3 linked regions of the Saccharomyces cerevisiae S288C genome follow. Changing the gene in region 1 together with any one later gene gives a genetic interaction. Each region holds a gene or a part of one and is shown on either strand. Other genes may lie near its edges.

Region 1 (7,928 bases):
ATTTAGAAATGAATGGGATGATTCGTATCATTAAAAATTCATTACCCGCAGATGAAATACTAACTTCCAATGAAGATGAAATTGAAATTGATTTGGATATTTTAGATGAAGCGACTATTGCAAGAATTTATGAGAGATATTTTGAGAAAAAAAATAACAACAATAGCAAAAGAAAACTAAGTGGCAACTACTCGACTGCGCCAACTAACAAGAAAAAGAAAACCTTGAAATTTTTGGAAAAGGATGAAATCATAAATAATAATAATTATTCCGATTCTGAAGAAGACAGTAGTGATAGTAGCGACAGTGACAGTGATTAACAATCGAAATGGGCTTCATGCCCTAATTAAGGAAAAAAAGAAAAGAAAAAAAAAATTGGGAAGAATGGGGATAAAAAAGATTTGTAACATTATAAACAAAAATAAGAAATAATTGTTTTTACGTACTTATTGTAAATAAAACAAAGGGATAACGGACAAAAAGGCATCGTTTCTTTTGTACTATGATTTACGCAAATGGTAATTAATTAGAGGTATGCATATAGTTTTTATAATTGATTCAATGAATTTTTTGTTATCGTTTTTAATTTCGAGTAATTTCAGGTAACCAATAAAGGATAAGATCACTTTCCAATCGTTCAAGTTCTGAAAATCATTAGAGCTGGAAGTTAATCCCATTTCCTTCGGCAAATTGGCAGGTATTCGCAAATGAGCTAATTGGTTAATTTTCAACGAATTCTTGATAAGCCAGCTTATCGAGTCCATGTTCACTACTCGAGCTCGATCTAAGTTATGAATGTAATTGAAGTTTTTGTTCATTATATTAAACTGATTGAAATTCGTAAATGTTATTGTAAGCATCTTATTAATTTCCAAGTGAATGAGCTGTTCACCCAATTTTTGTAAAGTTTCGTTTCTTGTTTCAAATGTATTTCCTGTGCTCAAGTCTCCAGTCATTGGTACTCGTACCAACATATTCCTGCTTGTGGTATATAGCAGTTTAGTTAGTTCTTTAGTCGGTATGCGTTCCTTTCCTTTATATCCGTCAGGATTAACTTCAAGGACTTCACACAGTTTTTCTATCTTACTAATATTCTTTTTCGTCACCGTGTTTATAGTTCTGATGGGAATATACCTGCGAATCCCAGATATTCGAGCAACAGTAGTTGCAAACACTTTTGTCCTCAACATGTCGAGATTCATTATCTGATTTATTCTTTTATCCTGCTATAAAGAAACCATAGAAGAATAGAAGCAAAGGGGTAGTACGTGGCACCTCCTAAAGGTAATATTGTACTATTCCTAGTTCACTCAAGGTCTGCCTGTCTTATTCTCCACATACATTTTCTATAACTCTTTTTTTAAGTTTGTTTTTATTTTAGTTTGACACTACATAAATATGTAAAACTATTTTTTCAAATTATACAAATAGAAAATTATGATAAAGGTCAAAAAGAAAGAAAAGAATGACTTGTCTGTTTTCCTTCCCTACAAACTCTTGCAAAAGTAATCAATCGAGGCCAGCACAGAAAAAAAATAAAAGATAAATAAATAGGAATAAGAATATAATGCGAAAAACAATAGTGGTCAGGTTCGGTCAGTTCTCTTGCTTTTTCCTCTCAGCTAGCTCTGCGTAGAACTTCTCTCTCTTGTTAATCTTATCCATGTGGAATCCCCACCACCAGTAAGAGGCCATGACACCCCCGAGGGAGAACCCGAGGACGATGTCCATGATGACTCTTCTCTTGATCGTACCAGTAATTGGAGCAATAGTCATGTCTGTGTAAGTCGCTTGTAGTTAGTAGTTTGCAAATATCTTGCTTGCTCTAATTCTCGGTCCTAATTTTCCCTGAAGATAAGAGTCTCTTTCATCGATTCTTTTAATACCACAGGAACAAAGCGGGCATCGTGGTAGCGGGCCAATCAGGTTGCAGTAAATGAAGAGATATAGAGGAGGACTCTGCTAAAGACCATAACAAGGGTCTGCAATGATCTTGGACTAAATAAAGGTGTCTTACAATCCAAAAGAGCTTGAATCATTCCTTTTATGAGCTAAATAGCACCGTTTGCACCTTCTGATAACGCTTTACGGGTCACGCGCGGATTTTGACTCACATAATTCCACTTGCCCATATAAAGAGGGACTCATATGATCTTATGAAATCTTCCTTCAAGCAATTGTGAGACAACAGACGCACAAGGAAGATCGCCCAGCATGAGTATGTTATCTAGAAGATTATTTTCCACCTCTCGCCTTGCTGCTTTCAGTAAGATTAAGGTCAAACAACCCGTTGTCGAGTTGGACGGTGATGAAATGACCCGTATCATTTGGGATAAGATCAAGAAGAAATTGATTCTACCCTACTTGGACGTAGATTTGAAGTACTACGACTTATCTGTCGAATCTCGTGACGCCACCTCCGACAAGATTACTCAGGATGCTGCTGAGGCGATCAAGAAGTATGGTGTTGGTATCAAATGTGCCACCATCACTCCTGATGAAGCTCGTGTGAAGGAATTCAACCTGCACAAGATGTGGAAATCTCCTAATGGTACCATCAGAAACATTCTCGGCGGTACAGTGTTCAGAGAGCCCATTGTGATTCCTAGAATTCCTAGACTGGTCCCACGTTGGGAAAAACCAATCATTATTGGAAGACACGCCCACGGTGATCAATATAAAGCTACGGACACACTGATCCCAGGCCCAGGATCTTTGGAACTGGTCTACAAGCCATCCGACCCTACGACTGCTCAACCACAAACTTTGAAAGTGTATGACTACAAGGGCAGTGGTGTGGCCATGGCCATGTACAATACTGACGAATCCATCGAAGGGTTTGCTCATTCGTCTTTCAAGCTGGCCATTGACAAAAAGCTAAATCTTTTCTTGTCAACCAAGAACACTATTTTGAAGAAATATGACGGTCGGTTCAAAGACATTTTCCAAGAAGTTTATGAAGCTCAATATAAATCCAAATTCGAACAACTAGGGATCCACTATGAACACCGTTTAATTGATGATATGGTCGCTCAAATGATAAAATCTAAAGGTGGCTTTATCATGGCGCTAAAGAACTATGACGGTGATGTCCAATCTGACATCGTCGCTCAAGGATTTGGCTCCTTAGGTTTGATGACTTCTATCTTAGTTACACCAGACGGTAAAACTTTCGAAAGTGAAGCTGCTCATGGTACCGTGACAAGACATTATAGAAAGTACCAAAAGGGTGAAGAAACTTCTACAAACTCCATTGCATCCATTTTCGCGTGGTCGAGAGGTCTATTGAAGAGAGGTGAATTGGACAATACTCCTGCTTTGTGTAAATTTGCCAATATTTTGGAATCCGCCACTTTGAACACAGTTCAGCAAGACGGTATCATGACGAAGGACTTGGCTTTGGCTTGCGGTAACAACGAAAGATCTGCTTATGTTACCACAGAAGAATTTTTGGATGCCGTTGAAAAAAGACTACAAAAAGAAATCAAGTCGATCGAGTAATCGAATTTACGTAGCCCAATCTACCACTTTTTTTTTTCATTTTTTAAAGTGTTATACTTAGTTATGCTCTAGGATAATGAACTACTTTTTTTTTTTTTTTTTTACTGTTATCATAAATATATATACCTTATTGTTGTTTGCAACCGTCGGTTAATTCCTTATCAAGGTTCCCCAAGTTCGGATCATTACCATCAATTTCCAACATTTTCATGAGTTCTTCTTCTTCATTACCGTGTTTTAGGGGGCTGTTCGCACTTCTAATAGGGCTATCACCAAGCTGTTCTAATTCGTCCAAAAGTTCAGTAACACGATCTTTATGCTTTAGCTCGTCATAATCTTTCAATTCATAAATATTTACAATTTCGTCTACGATATTAAATTGCCTCTTGTAGGTGCCTATCTTTTCCTTATGCTCTTCATTTTCACCGTTTTCTTGAAACCAAACACCGAACTCACTACGCATTTCTTTCATAGGCTCATATAATACTTCTTTTGACGTCATTTGATCAAGTATTTTTGTTATTGCGTCGTCCATCTCCCCATCTTTTAGATCAAATTGATTTTCTGCACTTTCTTTTCCACCAGATGCTACCATTTGATCTAATAATTGTGACAATATATCATCAATATTATTATTTTGGCCACTGCGTTGAGATTCCTTGGTTTCTTCGGCTAGGGATGTATCAACTTTATTACCATTTTCCTTTAACCTGTCTAGCGTATTGGAAACAATGTTTTTAAATCCCGGATTGCTACCATTCACGGTCCCTTTATCAGTGCTGTTACTTTTCAAACTACTACATCCTTGCTCCATCTGTTGATGAGGTACTTTAGCTGCCTCTTCTAGAGCACTAATCAGTTTATTAAAATCTTCTGTCTTCACATTATTCTCGTTACCGTTATTTTTCATCAAATTTGCGAACTCATTTTGCAAATCTACCATCATTTCTTTCAATTCTGGGTCCTCTTCAGATTCATTAGCTACCTGTACGCCATCACTGTCCTTACTTTCGGCATTCTTCTCTTTGTTTTCACTATCGTTGTACACAGAACCCTTCGCTTGCACATCATCGGGCTCTGCTTCATCCAGTTTAGTGGGATCTTCATCTAAAAGGTCATCCAAATCATCAAAATTATCGTACTCGTTTTCATTCATTACTTCGTGTTGTATGTTTGGCATTTCTTCTTTCCGTCAATACTTCGGTTCCCACAATTTGTAATTCTTTCTTCACTTTATATCTCTCAGAAACCGCGTTTAACATCTGGAAATTAAAAATTATTCCTGTCTCCATAACAAACATTTAAAAAAAGAAGAGAAATTTAGCATAGGATAAGCACACACTGGCACCATTTTTTGGAAGCAATATGAGTAGTTTGTGTCTACAGCGTCTTCAGGAAGAAAGGTAAGTAGTAGTTTTCCTCCTTTTATGCTTACATTCTGTAGGCATACACAATTTCATCCAGCGGTATACTAACAAATCGATGAACTTAACTTGTTTTACTTGAATAACAGAAAAAAATGGAGAAAGGATCATCCATTTGGATTTTATGCCAAACCAGTTAAGAAAGCTGATGGGTCCATGGATTTACAGAAATGGGAAGCTGGTATCCCAGGCAAAGAAGGTACAAACTGGGCGGGTGGTGTGTACCCAATTACAGTCGAATATCCAAATGAATATCCTTCAAAACCTCCAAAGGTTAAATTTCCAGCCGGATTTTATCATCCAAACGTGTATCCAAGTGGCACAATATGTTTAAGTATTTTAAATGAAGATCAAGATTGGAGACCCGCCATCACGTTAAAACAAATTGTTCTTGGGGTTCAGGATCTTTTAGACTCTCCAAATCCAAATTCCCCTGCTCAAGAGCCTGCATGGAGATCATTTTCAAGAAATAAGGCGGAATATGACAAGAAAGTTTTGCTTCAAGCTAAACAGTACTCTAAATAGAGGGAATCCATCTTTCCCATTCTTCCTCCTTTTGTACTTTATTTAACTAATGTCGTTGTGTAACAAAAATAGAGCAAAATAACATTATTTACAAATTCTCAAAAATAATTTTTTGCTCTTTGTTTCTTATGCTAAGTAAATAGAAAGATATTTTTTGTACCATTTTCTATAAGTATGGCAACTATATACACTTTAATAAATCTATTGGTTAGTAGAATTTTCATTCATTTTGTAGTGAATGAAACTATCCAACGTAGTAAAGCAATCATGGCATCTTTCTTTTAGTTCGGGATTTTTGTTTTTATCAACCATTTTGAATTGCTGCCTCAAATTTGGTACAACTTGGTCTTTTAGAATAGATAAAAATCCACCCCTTACAAATATTGGTTCATTATAGTCGTAAGAGGCATCCCCGTAAATTTGGAAAAGCGAATTTGTCATTTCTATCAAAATTTCAGGGCGAACATTCAACTGTGTTAAAGTTTGTATGAAGAACTGCCCAATCTCCTTATTTGCATCAATTTGTCCCTGAATCATAGCATATGTGCTTAGTACATTAATACATTTTTGTTGTAACTCAAGGTCATTATTATTTTGGAACTCTTCAATAATTCCCCTAGCGAATCCTGAATTGTTCAGCATTTGGACATTGATCAATGCTCGATTCTCACTTTCAAACGCTCCATCAGGAAAGATGAGTTTCAGAAGCGCCCAAATACAGCCCATTCTTCCTATTTTAATACTCAAATCATCTTGGCTGTCCAACTGTGTAACATAACTCCATAAGGTGGTTAACAACTCTCCAGAGAGCTCTGTTAGAGATAGAGACACAAAGAGCCAGATCAGATTGTTCCATCCGATCAATATTCGCGAGGTGAAGGTATCTTTCAAAATCATGAAAACGTGAGGTAAGAAATTTGTTAAGGTATTGATTAGCTCCTCTGGAATTGCTACTTCCTGTGATTCTGGTGATTCATATTTGGATGCAACTATCTCAATGATTGCGGTGATAAGATCAATTGCTATTTCAATGCTTTGCAATTTTATCATGGATTCGTTACGTTTCGCATTGTAATCCTTGATCTTAGTTATAACCTTACTGCTTTCATCTTTACTAGTAGCAGGTCCAATTTCTACAGGGTTATTAATGTCATTAACTAACTGTACTGGATCAATGTTATTAATGGAATGACATACAGAGTGGATCATTTTGTTACATTGATCATAAGTTATTTTCATGTCAAGGAATTGGCAATGGATACCTTCAATTAGAACTTTTGTTAATTCATTAGCTTGTGGATGTAAAGCCGGAGATAGCCCATTTAAGAACTGTGATAGAAGTTCATTGTTGGAAACATGATCAATAAATTCAAATGATTCGGAACTCAAATCATAAATGAGATCAAGAGTGGTATTGAACAGATTAATTGGCAGTTTCTCGACACCATATTTTAATAGCTGTGAAATGACCTGAAAAATTTCATTTATTTTACTTTCCGTTAATATCTCATTAAGAATATCGTCGGATCCATTAGACAGAGCCACCACTAACGACAGTAAGTTATCGGCAAAATCGAATAACAACCTTTTAGATTCTATTTTGGATTTTCCTGCAGGTTTTAGCTGCGGTTGCTGTTCTGCTGCTTGCAAAGCGGATAACGATTCAACAATCCTGCCAAAATTACTTGTTATACTTGTCCATATATCAGATCTCCAAAGGTAGATTGACACATCATAACCTTCTTCCAAAGACAAGTTCCTTAATAAGCCGAACGACTCCACAACTATGTCCGAATTAGAATCGTTCAGCAATTTATTCAAAATGATAGGAACTAATTTCTCTTTCAGTAAAAGTTGTCTCATATGTGCATCCTCACAAAGAACACTGATGGAACTCAAAGCAATACTTCTATCATTAGGCACCACACTTGACAAATTCTGCAATAGCGGCTGGAGTTTTTTATTAACGACGTTGGTATCTTTATTATTGTCATTTGACCCAGCTTTGCGTAGTGGATTTAATCGAGACGAAGATGCTCTTGATCTTTTCTTTGATCTGCCCATTCTTTTCTGCCCTAAAAAGTCGATTTCTGCGTCCTTGTACAAACTCGAAAATCTGATCGAAAGTACTTGGAATCCAGTAAGAATAATGGGGGCGTTGCTACGAAGATTTAATTTTACAATACATAGACCTTTAAACAATGGTAGATAAATGGATGAGATGAGATGAGATGAGATGAGATGAGATGAAAAATTTTCTGAATAAGAGAACTACTCGTTCTAAATGATTATTGTACATTTTGCATAGAAAAATGGCAATAAACAGGGCAGTACTATTTCATCATCATCACTAAACATTAGTTGGCAAACTTATTAAGCCAACAGTACTTGTGACTAGAATTTTTTATTATATCGCCAATATTTAATGATAAACATAATATAGTAATACCAAAAATAATTATGATAACTTATACAAAA
Region 2 (7,561 bases), on another chromosome or scaffold:
GCACGTAATTTTCAAAAGAGTTGTACACGTTGTTAGTCAAGATGGTGAAAATGGTATCGAAGGACGTATTCTATGAAAGATAGAGTTTGTAGTAAGCCAAATATTAGAATTTAGCTAGTAAATCAGACTCCTTTCGAGGCAATAAACTGTCGTTATTCTGTTCATTGCCTATATGGTCGCTATAATACCTCATGCTTCCTTTACCACAATTAAACTAACCCAGAAAACTGAGGGAAGCCAAATGCCAACTGAGGAGATCTGCAAAATCAATATGAGGACTCGTAAATTTGATGTGGGCGGGAATTCTCGAGATTTTGAGTGCTTTTATTCGAATTTTGTTCAAACTGTTATATTGTTGGGCACTTTTTTTTACTGTGTTGAAAGGCTTCAGCCGTGGTCCATTGTTACCGCTGATATATCTTATAAACAAATCTTTGTAAATGTCTTTGTGGTGTGTTTGATAATGGTTGGTCTGATATTCACAAAATATTGGCAACATGGTTACAAAAGCCTACCCAAGTTCGATACCATTTACAGTTTATATTTACCGTTTATGGTTTCGTTGTTGTTCGATACATCATCTACGGTGATAAATACTATTTTGATCCTTTCGGTATTAAATTCATATAGATGGCGAACTCAGTTGGTAGTGATCATTTTACAGCTCTGCCTCATATTTTTTAATTTTGAGGCTGGTGACAGGTTAAAGAATATTATTAGCATAGTAATAAATTCTTTACTGTCGTTAATTTTGAAGTATATTGGGCAATTGAAAAGTTTAGATAATATCGACTCTAATCTTTTTAGTATCCTATTAACCAATATTCTGTACGTTTCAGAGGCTGGCACAGTACATTTTAGAATTTTGAAGGGCATTATCCTTGCTCTCACAACAATAATTTCAATTAACTATGTGCTCAAAAAGGTAATGCACTTTAAACCGTTTATGCTGTCAATATCCTTTGCCATCGGGCTTCCACTTTTTGCCAATACCTTCATTCATTTAGAAGACGGTGAAAATCCGCTACTTTGGCTGGTAAAATATATCTTAGAGTCTACTATTCGTCAAAAGATTTTGTTTGCTTGGTCTTCAATTCTTATACTGTCCATACCAAGTATATTGATCGAGAAGGACAGTCTATCGTTGAACACCTCCCGAAAATTGTGGCATTTCATCATTTTCTTACTCATAATACCGTCATTCCAAATGGATTCAAACTTTGTGAAAATTGCATTGTCCGGAACAATACCAGTCTTCTTATCAATTGAGTACATAAGATTTCAAAACCTACCGCCGTTAGGATCTGCTATTGAATTACAACTAAGAAGGTTTGCTGATGATAGGGACCACAGCGGGCCATTGATCATATCATACCTTTATTTACTCTTCGGAATATCAACACCTTTATTAATGAATAACTCTCCAATGGGTCTAATAGGATTGGGAATTGGTGATTCCTTAGCATCTATTATTGGTAAAAGGTATGGCCGCATTCGTTGGAAAGGTACACAAAAAACTTTAGAGGGAACTCTTGCGTTTATAGTAACGAGTTTTATCGTTTGTTTGGTATTGTTACGTTTTGATAAAGCTGCAATTTTTAACCACCTAACTACTTTACAATTGCTTACCCTTTGTACACTGAGTGGAGTGCTAGAAGGTAATAGTGTGCTTAATGACAATATTTTGATACCTGCATTTATGATGATTTGTGAAAAATTAATTACTCTTTGACAAAGTCAATTATTTTCAACTTTTAAAATTACATAACTAATTGTTTGCATTTATGAATAGAATAAAGAAAAGAATAGAGCAGTAAAGAAAAAAAAATAATTGTAAGTATTTTTTTTTCGTTTTATATCTAGTACTTACACGTAGTATATACAAGTATGGGCTATAGATATAAAGAAAAATAATAAATAAACGAGATTGTTAAGTTAGCTCTCTATTTCTTACCATGCTTCTTTTTATTGTTGGTTTTGTTTTTGCTCTTAGAGTTGGAAGAATCGCCTTCTATAAATGTTAACAACTCATCCACACTTTTGTTAGCCAATTCAGGTTTAACGTCATCCTTCTTTTGACGGTGATTGGTTTTTTTATGGCCAGCTGAATTTGATCCCGTTGTCGACATTTGATCTTGTGCAAGTTGCTTCTTTTGTTTTAAATCCATTATTAATGAGCTTAAACCATTAACCCACTGTCTTGATTGGGCTGAGTGCGTGTGATTCATACCCAATTGCTTGGTGAAAATCCCTTGGGTTACAGTGATGTGCTCTAATGCACGGTGGAAATCCTTCAATGCTGCAAACAAATTACCTAAACGTGACTCGGTATAGCCATATGCTAATGAATCTTTGCCTTCTAATTCCACAACATAGGAGCTTAGTTGTCCCAAGACTTCAATAGCCAATTTGGTATCTTGAACACCTAGGGCTAATTGTTCCAAATGGTTGAAAATGCTTGTGGGGGCTGGGTGATGGATTTTTGGTAACTCATAAACTTTTAGGATTTCTGCGAGCCTATTATAAACCACAGTAGCGTTATAAGGACTTTCATTAGAGAATTCTAGAATTGCTAAATTAGTTAAAGCCCTCATCATTTCAAAAGAATCAATACCGCTAACTCTTTCATAAATAGTACATGCTTTACGACAGAACGCGATAGCTTCAGGGTATAATGCTAACTTATTATAAATGGCAGATAATGACAAGTACTTTTCAGCAACGGCGGGATGTAAAATATTGTTAACATCTTCTAAGACTGTAATTGATTGAGCGAGTAAAGTCAAAGCACTTTGTTTGTCTTCGTTGATCATAGAAGCACCTTGAGCCCAAAATTCCTCACTAACTGAAGAAGTATATTCTGAGAACTTAACACGTGGAATAATGGTCAAATCGCTTAAACTGAAGGTAGTTGGTGGTTCGACAAACTTGTTCCTAATTTTCTTGTCAAGACTTTGCTTATAACTTTCCAATTGTTCTCTAGTAAAGAAGTATTCTTTATTGAGCAATTGAATACCAAATTTGTAAGAAACACTTCTAATGAGGGTGAAAGGATTTTCCATGTAAGCTTCGATCCAATTGGATGGTAATTGATGACGGAAACGCAAGAAGGCTTGTTTAGAGACAGCTTCCAGCAATTCGGAGCGTGTTAATTTAGCAAATGAGCACTTATTGACTGGATAAAATTCGTCGACTGGTTCTGGCTTCGGATCAGCATTGTAGTTGATACCAACTAACATATTGAAAACGTATGCTACCAGTGATGGAACCAAGAAGACCGGAACATCTTTACTCAAATCTTTTAAAACATGTTTCAAAGAACGCGAAACAATTTCTAATTCGGAAATTTTAATTAATGGCACTAGCTCATCATAGGCAACGACCACAGGTTTTCCATCGGTGGGCTTTTTGATTTCTTCATCGTTTAATTTCAAATCTTCAGTTAGTTCTTTTGGAACCTCTTTGCCTTCTTGTACCAGCTTATTAATCTTGGCTTGTCTCTCTTTAATCATGTTCTCAATTTTTTGCAGATAAGATTTTTCCCAATCCTCATATTCTTTGTTGTCTTGTTCAACAGCTTTCAAATTTTGTTCGTAGTGGACAATTTGGGAGTCCAATTCCTTTTGAGAAAGCTCGATAATTTTACCCAAGTAACGCATGTTGATACCATTCTTATGTAAAGTATCGGCTAAATGTTCACCATTATAAGGAGTGCTCAAATTTCCAGATAAATAATCTTGAATAACGCTGGGAATAACTTCTTTTTGTAAGTAGTTCGACATTTCGTCAACATTAGCGTCCTCAATACCTTCGACCTGGTAAGCATCAGGGTTATAACTAAACAAATTTTCTTCATAGGCCTTTTCAAATTCAACACCTTCCTTCTCAACTTTATTATTCCACCACTTTTCTACTAACTCCGGACGTAACAAAGTTTGCCTGTGTGGGTAACGGTTTCCAGTCTCTTCGATGTTGTCAAAGTTTTGTCTAGCAAAGTTGATGTCCAAGGGATACGTGTTGGCTAAATCCAAAATATAGCGCCTCTTATCGAATCCAACTATTCCCTTGGATTGCGATGAAAATGCTAATTCAGTACCGTTGACTTTGTGCTTTTTCAAATGGAATGCCTTGACAAACTTTTTTTCTAAAACAGAATCAAAGTCAGCATCATAAACAATCTTTCCCAAACCTTCATCAAGGCCGTACTTTACATTAATATCATTGACAAAATCTTCGGTAACCTCTTCGCCGGTATTAGCATCTTTTACAATTTTGTTACCCATGGTAGCTAAGAGTCCAGGTACTGGAGTTTGAGCCAAAATTCTTCTGCCTGCAAATTCGACTACAGTTGTTAAAAGATAACGAACTTCGTGCATATGCAAGCGATTCAAAATATTGATTGTCTTCAAGTCTTGGTTGGAAGCAGCGATTGCAGCTTCATCCCCACCTTTCCCTTCATAATTGCCACTAACGTCGGAAACATAGGAATAAAAGATATTGTCTTTTAAGAAAATTTGATCCCGAGTTGGAGATTCTGGGTTCATTGCAACGAAATCACTGTAAAAAATTGACATAGCGCCTGATGCTGCAGTAACAGAAAATTCATGTACAACTTTAGAAAACAACCTTTCCATTTCAATACGATCTTGTAATGTTGACGTAGTCAAATCTTTAATGGCTTGAAATTCATCATTAAAGTTTCTTTCTGGCGTGGTATCCAAGGCGGCAGTTTGTAACCTCAGATAATCTGGGTTATTTGGTGGCAATGAAGAAACAAACCATGGTTTATGCAAGAAAGTATTGCTTGGTCTTACATAGCTTGTAGAATCTAAAGCAGATAGTTTTTTCTCGAATGCTTGGACATGAGAAATGAATTTTTTAGAGCGAGAAGCAATCAAGTCAAATAGACTGTAATAGATCAGGGATGAGTGCGCGTTCTCGTCAGTGTTTTCTTTTGGAGAAGGATCGAACTTAGTTGAGTTTGATTTATTGACATAGAATCCAGATGGAATTGCAGTGATATAGAAACTCTCACCTTCCAAAGTGACAATTTGTAGGTAAAATAGATGACCTTTACTTCTATAAAATGGAGGTACAGGATTGTAAGGTGCGAAACTCAAAGACCTGACGCACGGCGTGATGATGTTGGATTCAGAGGTGAGAAGTTTGTTAATTGAAGAATTCTTAAAGCTAGAAAACACTTCGTGAACCATCTCGTTAAATTTTAGTTTTTCCTCGTCAGTCACATCTTTGAAAGTATTTTTCTTTTCTTCTGGATCGCTCTTCTCGTCTTTTTCTTCTTGTTTTGAGCGTTCCTTGATAGGACCCAACGGTAACGAGGAAAAGCTTGAACCAGTAGAAATAGCAAATTCAGATAATCCATCTGAGGTTTCTTGGGCAAATCCGATGAAATCGCGAACAGTAATCACATGTTTCAAAGCCTCTCTTGCGCTATATGGCTTCAGTATCAATTGAAGTTTTAACTCGCTTTTCTCACCAACAATTTCCTTTATAGACATTTCATCAGATAGCTGGGAGTCACCTTCAATTGTTTTCAGCCCAACGTTTGTCAGGTACTTGGAACTTGGAATCATAGCCAACACATCTAGAACAGTTTGAATTTTGGATTCCTTGCCGATTTCAAAAGATATATCATTATTTTTTGAACTTTGGGTCTTTTTGAGATGTTTCGTATTATGCGAATGGTTATCTTCTTTTGGAAGTTTGACAGTCACCTTAACGGTGGCGTTTTTAACTTCTTCTTTTTTCTCGCTCATAGAGATTAAAGATATGCAGTCTCAGATAAACTGTAACACTACGCTGATTTGATTCGTTCTGTAAACAAATTACAGCTCAATTACTACTCTGTGTTTAGTGAACCTTATATCCAATCTTCACTGCAGACAATTTCCTTTTTTGAGAATACTTCGAAGCGTATAATTTCCAAGAAATGGTATCCGTTTTATTGGCCATGTTTGACCGGAAAAAACCTTGGTCGACGTGAAGAAAAAAATTTTCAAATTTCTTCAAAAAGAAAACTCCGCTACGGGGAGTCGAACCCCGGTCTCCACGGTGAAAGCGTGATGTGATAGCCGTTACACTATATCGGATTATATTTCACTGTTGATATTTTTCGTAGAGAACTCCTTATCGAGTTATTAAAGAAACGATCATATCAATTGTTCTATTTTTACATAACTACTCTGACATTATAGTTTCATAAAGCACTGCTACTTATATATTTGGAATTTCTGTGTACCTAATATTATAGTCCTTATCCCCAACGGTTGAACCCAAACAATCATCAAATCATGCACAAGTTTCTCAGCTATCCCATTTCAACTATGATAAAGGTTCATCTTCAAAGTGTATCCATTCAATCCAGTAAATGCAATCATTTCGCTGTATATGACGATATATTGGTGATATGAATGCTAGTCGATAGATTATTGTTTAATTTTGTTCTAACTCGCCAGAAAGAACCAACTGTTTACTTGAAGCTAATTTCCTTGCTTGGTTGGTGACTTATTTATTATTTTTCATAATTAGTTAATTAGTGATCATATGAAGTAATCAGCCACAATACGCCATTGATGCTTGAAGGCGAAAAACAATATATGATTACGTGATATGTGGCACAGTAAAGTTAAAGATTCATTATTACTTCAACGAGAAACTTGACGTCTCATGTATAAGGATATGAGTCGTTACATTGAAAATACAGTAAATGGTTCCACCATTATTATGTTGGTCTTGTTTAGTATGGCCGATCGGCGTGTGTTTTGTTTGCACCTTTTATATAGTAGAAGAATATTTGTCTTAATTCTTATTAGTACTGCAACCTAACCACTAATTATCAACAATTATTGGATTATATAAAGGAGGTAAATTGCCGGATTAAAATCAAATATCATTCATCAACAAGTATTCATATTGTCGGCATATTTTTACATGCGGTGTAAGTATTTGGATCGTATTCTTATAGTGTCAATACCTCGAAGCAGCGTTTCAAGTACCAGACGTATGTAGGAACTTTTTAACGTCGAGTCCGTAAGATTTGATCAGTATTAAAAAAATCTAGATAAATGAGTGGTACAAATAAAAACATCATTAAAAATCGTTAAATAAAAAAGTATGAAGATCATCTATTAAAGTATTAGTAGCCATTAGCCTTAAAAAAATCAGTGCTAGTTTAAGTATAATCTCTTATTCCTCGGAAACTCTTTTTTCTTTTGAGATCCAGCTACCAGATTTCCATGGTTTGACACCTTCAACATACATTTCATTAACTTCCTCTAATGTTAAGCCCTTGGTTTCACAGACAAAGAAAAACACGTAGAAGAATGAAAATACCAAACAGCCCATGAAGACATACCCGTATGAAAATCCAATTGCACTTGTAATGAAGGGAGTGAAGAAACCAATCAAGAAACCCCAAATCCAGTTGGCACCAACAGCAATAGCCATAGCACGATTTTTGACACGCAAAGGATAGGATTCGGCAACAATAACGTAGGCAATTGGGGCCCAACTAATAGCGAAGAAGAAAATGAATAAACAG
Region 3 (4,213 bases), on another chromosome or scaffold:
ATCAGACGGGTATACTTACATATGGGATAGCAGATCTCCGTCCGCTGTACAAAGCTTTTACGTTAACGATAGTGATATTAATGCACTTCGTTTTTTCAAAGACGGGATGTCGATTGTTGCAGGAAGTGACAATGGTGCGATAAATATGTATGATTTAAGGTCGGACTGTTCTATTGCTACTTTTTCTCTTTTTCGAGGTTATGAAGAACGTACCCCTACCCCTACTTATATGGCAGCTAACATGGAGTACAATACCGCGCAATCGCCACAAACTTTAAAATCAACAAGCTCAAGCTATCTAGACAACCAAGGCGTTGTTTCTTTAGATTTTAGTGCATCTGGAAGATTGATGTACTCATGCTATACAGACATTGGTTGTGTTGTGTGGGATGTATTAAAAGGAGAGATTGTTGGAAAATTAGAAGGTCATGGTGGCAGAGTCACTGGTGTGCGCTCGAGTCCAGATGGGTTAGCTGTATGTACAGGTTCATGGGACTCAACCATGAAAATATGGTCTCCAGGTTATCAATAGCTTCGAATTGGAAATACTGTGAGCAGTAATTATCAATGGATGCTATTATATAAATATACATACCTACACCCATCCCATATTTACATAGAATAACAACAGTAACATTAGTTCTGTGGAAGCGCAAAAACGTCCTTTAATAAAGTAAGTCAAAACATTCAACAATGAAAATTCAAAGCATTGTCATTTGCTTCCTTTTTCTCTTTGGATAAACGAAACAAAAACGAACAAAAGTGTCATGCACTCAAAAATTCTTTTCAATCGTTTTGGAAACAGTATTATTCACTGACTTATTTGACCAACTTGCTAGAATCATCTATGTTTTCAGGCATTGTTTAATTTCATGATGGCTGTCCCTACTTTAGCTTGTTATGAGCCTTCACTGGCTCGTCCTTATGTATTGCGTCTGACCCAAAATTTGTCCTTTCTTGTTTAGTGGAATTTTTGTTCGGTAATTTCAAAAATGCCTGAATTTTCATTAACAAATCATCTGGTAGTTGTGTTATAAACATAAAAAACTGCTCCCTTCTGGGATGATTTTCAATTGCTCTCTGTACTGCAGGATCATTCAATATCATCTGAACCACGTCCGTCATCATATCCTCATCTATAAGCGCAAGGCTTTTAATCCAGGGCAAATCGGCTATACGAAGAGACATTTCTTCCTCCGGAGACACTACTTTCCACGGGAGATCAAAATATTTAGATAGTTCACTATTGAGATGTGAGAATTCATGAGGCACATCAACGGTATAGTCAACTGCATATGCATCATCTTCAAACGTTAAGTCATGTTCAATGCTAAACTTTCCAGCGTTACCTATAAAAAAGCATTCTATTTTTAAGTTAAACTCTCCCCAACCGGTTTCCTTGATAAAAAATGGCAGCGAGTTCAGTCGTCTTTTGGGCTGTTTGAAGCTAGAGTGCAAATGGTAGATGCATTTAGAGAGGATGGTAGGCTCCACTTCCTTTCCTGTTGCATCTAACATGAGGAGTTCCATCTGCCACCGACGTAAGGGAAGTTCATTTCCCCGGATGTTTTGTTCCGGTATTATAACCTGTTGTGTTTTTACTCTGAAAGTGACTTCTATTGAATGATCCATAAAAGAGCGTCTATTATATGGCACCAAAAAAAAAAAAAAGGGCTTTTGGAGTCAAGAGTAAAAACAATTTAGTCTGTAGAAAAACTTGAGTTGCTGCACTTCCTCTTCACCCGAACATGGCTGTTCTAGTTTGTTGTCGTGCAACTCTCTAATGGTGATGACTTATTGATGTGGCTTTGATTTTTTCTTGCCCGTGTAACGCGACCGCGCCAGCTGTAAACGTCACTAAATAATACCATTAATTGGTCATTTGCTTATATGTTATATAAATGCTTTCTCTATCAAAACTTTGATTATATGACTGCCGAACTTTAAGGGTGAAGTAACAAGTACAGACCAAATAGAAAAGATAAGATTCCCATCGACGGCATTAAGGAGGATGATGAATTTTCGTATCCCCCAATAGTTGTAATATTTCCCGGGGTGATTGTTGGGAAAATCTCAACGCTGGTAACACCCGTGGATAAAGCTAAACTTGTCGTACTAGATAAATAAGAAATGGTGCTCGTTAATGTTGCAGTACTTGTCGGCATTTCACTATTATTGATGATGCTCATATTAGTTACTAAAATATCTTCATACGCGTAAATTTTCGGTTTCGGAATCTCTTCAAATACCTCGTCTGCCCCGACTTTCTTCTGTATGCTGTCTTCCATAATTTCATGTAGAATACTTTCAATTTGAGAAAACTTTTTGTGCTCCACTATTGTTAGAGGATCTTCCAACAGAAAATCTATAACAGATTTGGAAGCAAGGACCGTATCGGTATGTTCTTGAGAATCAACAGCTCGCGGCTCCTCCGGTAAATCTGCTAATACTAAGTATGGATTAAACTCCATTTGATTTAGCAGAGCTGGTGGTAATGAGTTTTTATCCAAATGGAAAACTAAAGGACCAGGTTCATTTTGTCCTGTTTCATCTTCTTCATACTCATCTGATGTAAAAGTAATTGAGTATTTGGTAGCAAACACTTGTGCCATAAAAAAGGCGAAGAAAAGGGAGGATAGATATAATCCTAACATTTCAATAAGGATCAAAAAAGAGAATGGGATACAAAACTTTACTTTCCTTCCTTTCGTGCTAGTTACTGGCTTGGTGTTGTTCTTTAGTTATGTGTAGCAATGTTAGCTGCTGGTTTTTTGTCTTGGATAACTACAAATACTTTCAGGAAAAGAATAATTTATACATTATACAAAAGCGGCCTCTTTTATAAACAAAGGGCAAATGACAGTTAGCAAGACATATCATGGTTGCCATGGGACACAAAAACGTAGCCACAAAAAAAAAAAAAAAGGTGAAAGGAAGCGAGCATTAATTTTTTATTTTAATATGTAACTGTGATATGTATTAACAAAGTATCTTTCATAATTTTTGACGAATATTTTTACTTCTTTTTTACTATTGAAGGTTGGGCTGTGATTCATCGCGCAGAAAACAAGGACCTCATTTGAAAATTTCCTTGAATTGCTTAACAATGCTATTTTTGATGGCAGTTGGAGATGTCTTCCATTCTGTTGGCAATGACTTCCAGTCGATTTCTCCCATGATTTCCTTAATTTGAACTTTTTTTTCACCTGCCTTTGTTTTGAGGGCGTCCAGTAATTTCTTCACATTTTGATCAATATCAAGCTCTGAAGACACTGGCAATTGGTCCATATATTTCTTTATAATGTCCATTTCACCTTGCTCTTTGGCCACCAGATCGTCCCTCTTGTTAGCAAGGAACTCATTGATCGAGTCCTTTCTTTGAGATATTAACTTGGAGTACATGTCGTACAGGGAGTACTCATCAGCGCTCTTCCCTTTTAAAGCAATTTCTTTGTTTTTTATGGCAGATAACATATTTCTGATTGCTGTCTTCTTCATCTCATCCTTGGCAATCATAGCCTTTTTCAAATCTCCTTTCAATAGGCTGACTGCAGCCGTGTAGGCTGGAGAACTGTTATAACGAATGAAGGTTAGTCTATTTGAAACAAGTGGCCTAATTGATTGTCTGAACATCTTGGAATAGTGTTATTTGCTGTATTCCCCAACTTTATCCCAAAGTCTTTTTTCTCCAGTTCATTACTTCTGTAAAAAATGTTGCAGATCCTTTTTCTTCCCTTTAATTTTGAGTCCTTCCCCCCGAAAAGTCCCAGATGCCGGGTAGATGTGATTTATATCATTTATCGTTTATAGAGTATAAATTGGGTGATGCTACACTAAGTACGTATGCTCTTCTGAACTAGACTTAGTTTGCCCGATTAGTCTTTCTCACTCTCTTTCTCGAGGTAGTTGGTCCAAAGCGATACAAAGCTTTCCGTTCTCGATACAGCGCTTGAATTCTTAGACTCATTATTCGAGATCAAGCCGGCCTGTTGTTTCTTATCTTCATCCCAGTTTAAGAAATTGGACAGTAATTCAAGAACTTCAAACTTTCTTGGGTCTGCTCTGGGTATGGACACGAAAGATATCAATAGATTGGATATCAGTTCTTTATCAACGGATTCAGAATCGCTTGATTTCTTCAACATGGCCAGTGCCTTTGTTAAATGCTCATTTAGTATAATGGCTTCGTGACGTAGTTTTCCGATCTGTAAGA

What was found.
Region 2: mutations in CBS1 (region 1) and CLU1 together harm fitness more than expected from each alone (negative genetic interaction), as found in Saccharomyces cerevisiae (one large-scale study listed by BioGRID).
Region 3: mutations in CBS1 (region 1) and SPR2 together harm fitness more than expected from each alone (negative genetic interaction), as found in Saccharomyces cerevisiae (one large-scale study listed by BioGRID).

What each region holds. Positions count from the first base shown.
Region 1 is NC_001136.10:332,621-340,548, forward strand, and holds CBS1 (Cbs1p), read right to left. Parts: upstream 1,191-7,928; coding exon 501-1,190; downstream 1-500. Other genes in the region: BDF2 (Bdf2p), read left to right, coding at 1-320; COX9 (cytochrome c oxidase subunit VIIa), read right to left, coding at 1,597-1,776; isocitrate dehydrogenase (NADP(+)) IDP1, read left to right, coding at 2,215-3,501; PEX19 (Pex19p), read right to left, coding at 3,629-4,657; E2 SUMO-conjugating protein UBC9, read left to right, coding at 4,867-4,904, 5,015-5,450; SYO1 (Syo1p), read right to left, coding at 5,652-7,514. UniProt on the Saccharomyces cerevisiae protein: mRNA-specific translational activator of cytochrome b.
Region 2 is NC_001145.3:289,350-296,910, reverse strand, and holds CLU1 (translation initiation factor 3 subunit CLU1), read right to left. Parts: upstream 5,778-7,561; coding exon 1,944-5,777; downstream 1-1,943. Other genes in the region: SEC59 (dolichol kinase), read left to right, coding at 173-1,732; hexose transporter HXT2, read right to left, coding at 7,207-7,561. UniProt on the Saccharomyces cerevisiae protein: mRNA-binding protein involved in proper cytoplasmic distribution of mitochondria.
Region 3 is NC_001147.6:743,650-747,862, forward strand, and holds SPR2 (Spr2p), read right to left. Parts: upstream 2,655-4,213; coding exon 1,944-2,654; downstream 1-1,943. Other genes in the region: STE4 (G protein subunit beta), read left to right, coding at 1-532; SAS5 (Sas5p), read right to left, coding at 886-1,632; AIM41 (Aim41p), read right to left, coding at 3,076-3,633; RUD3 (Rud3p), read right to left, coding at 3,876-4,213.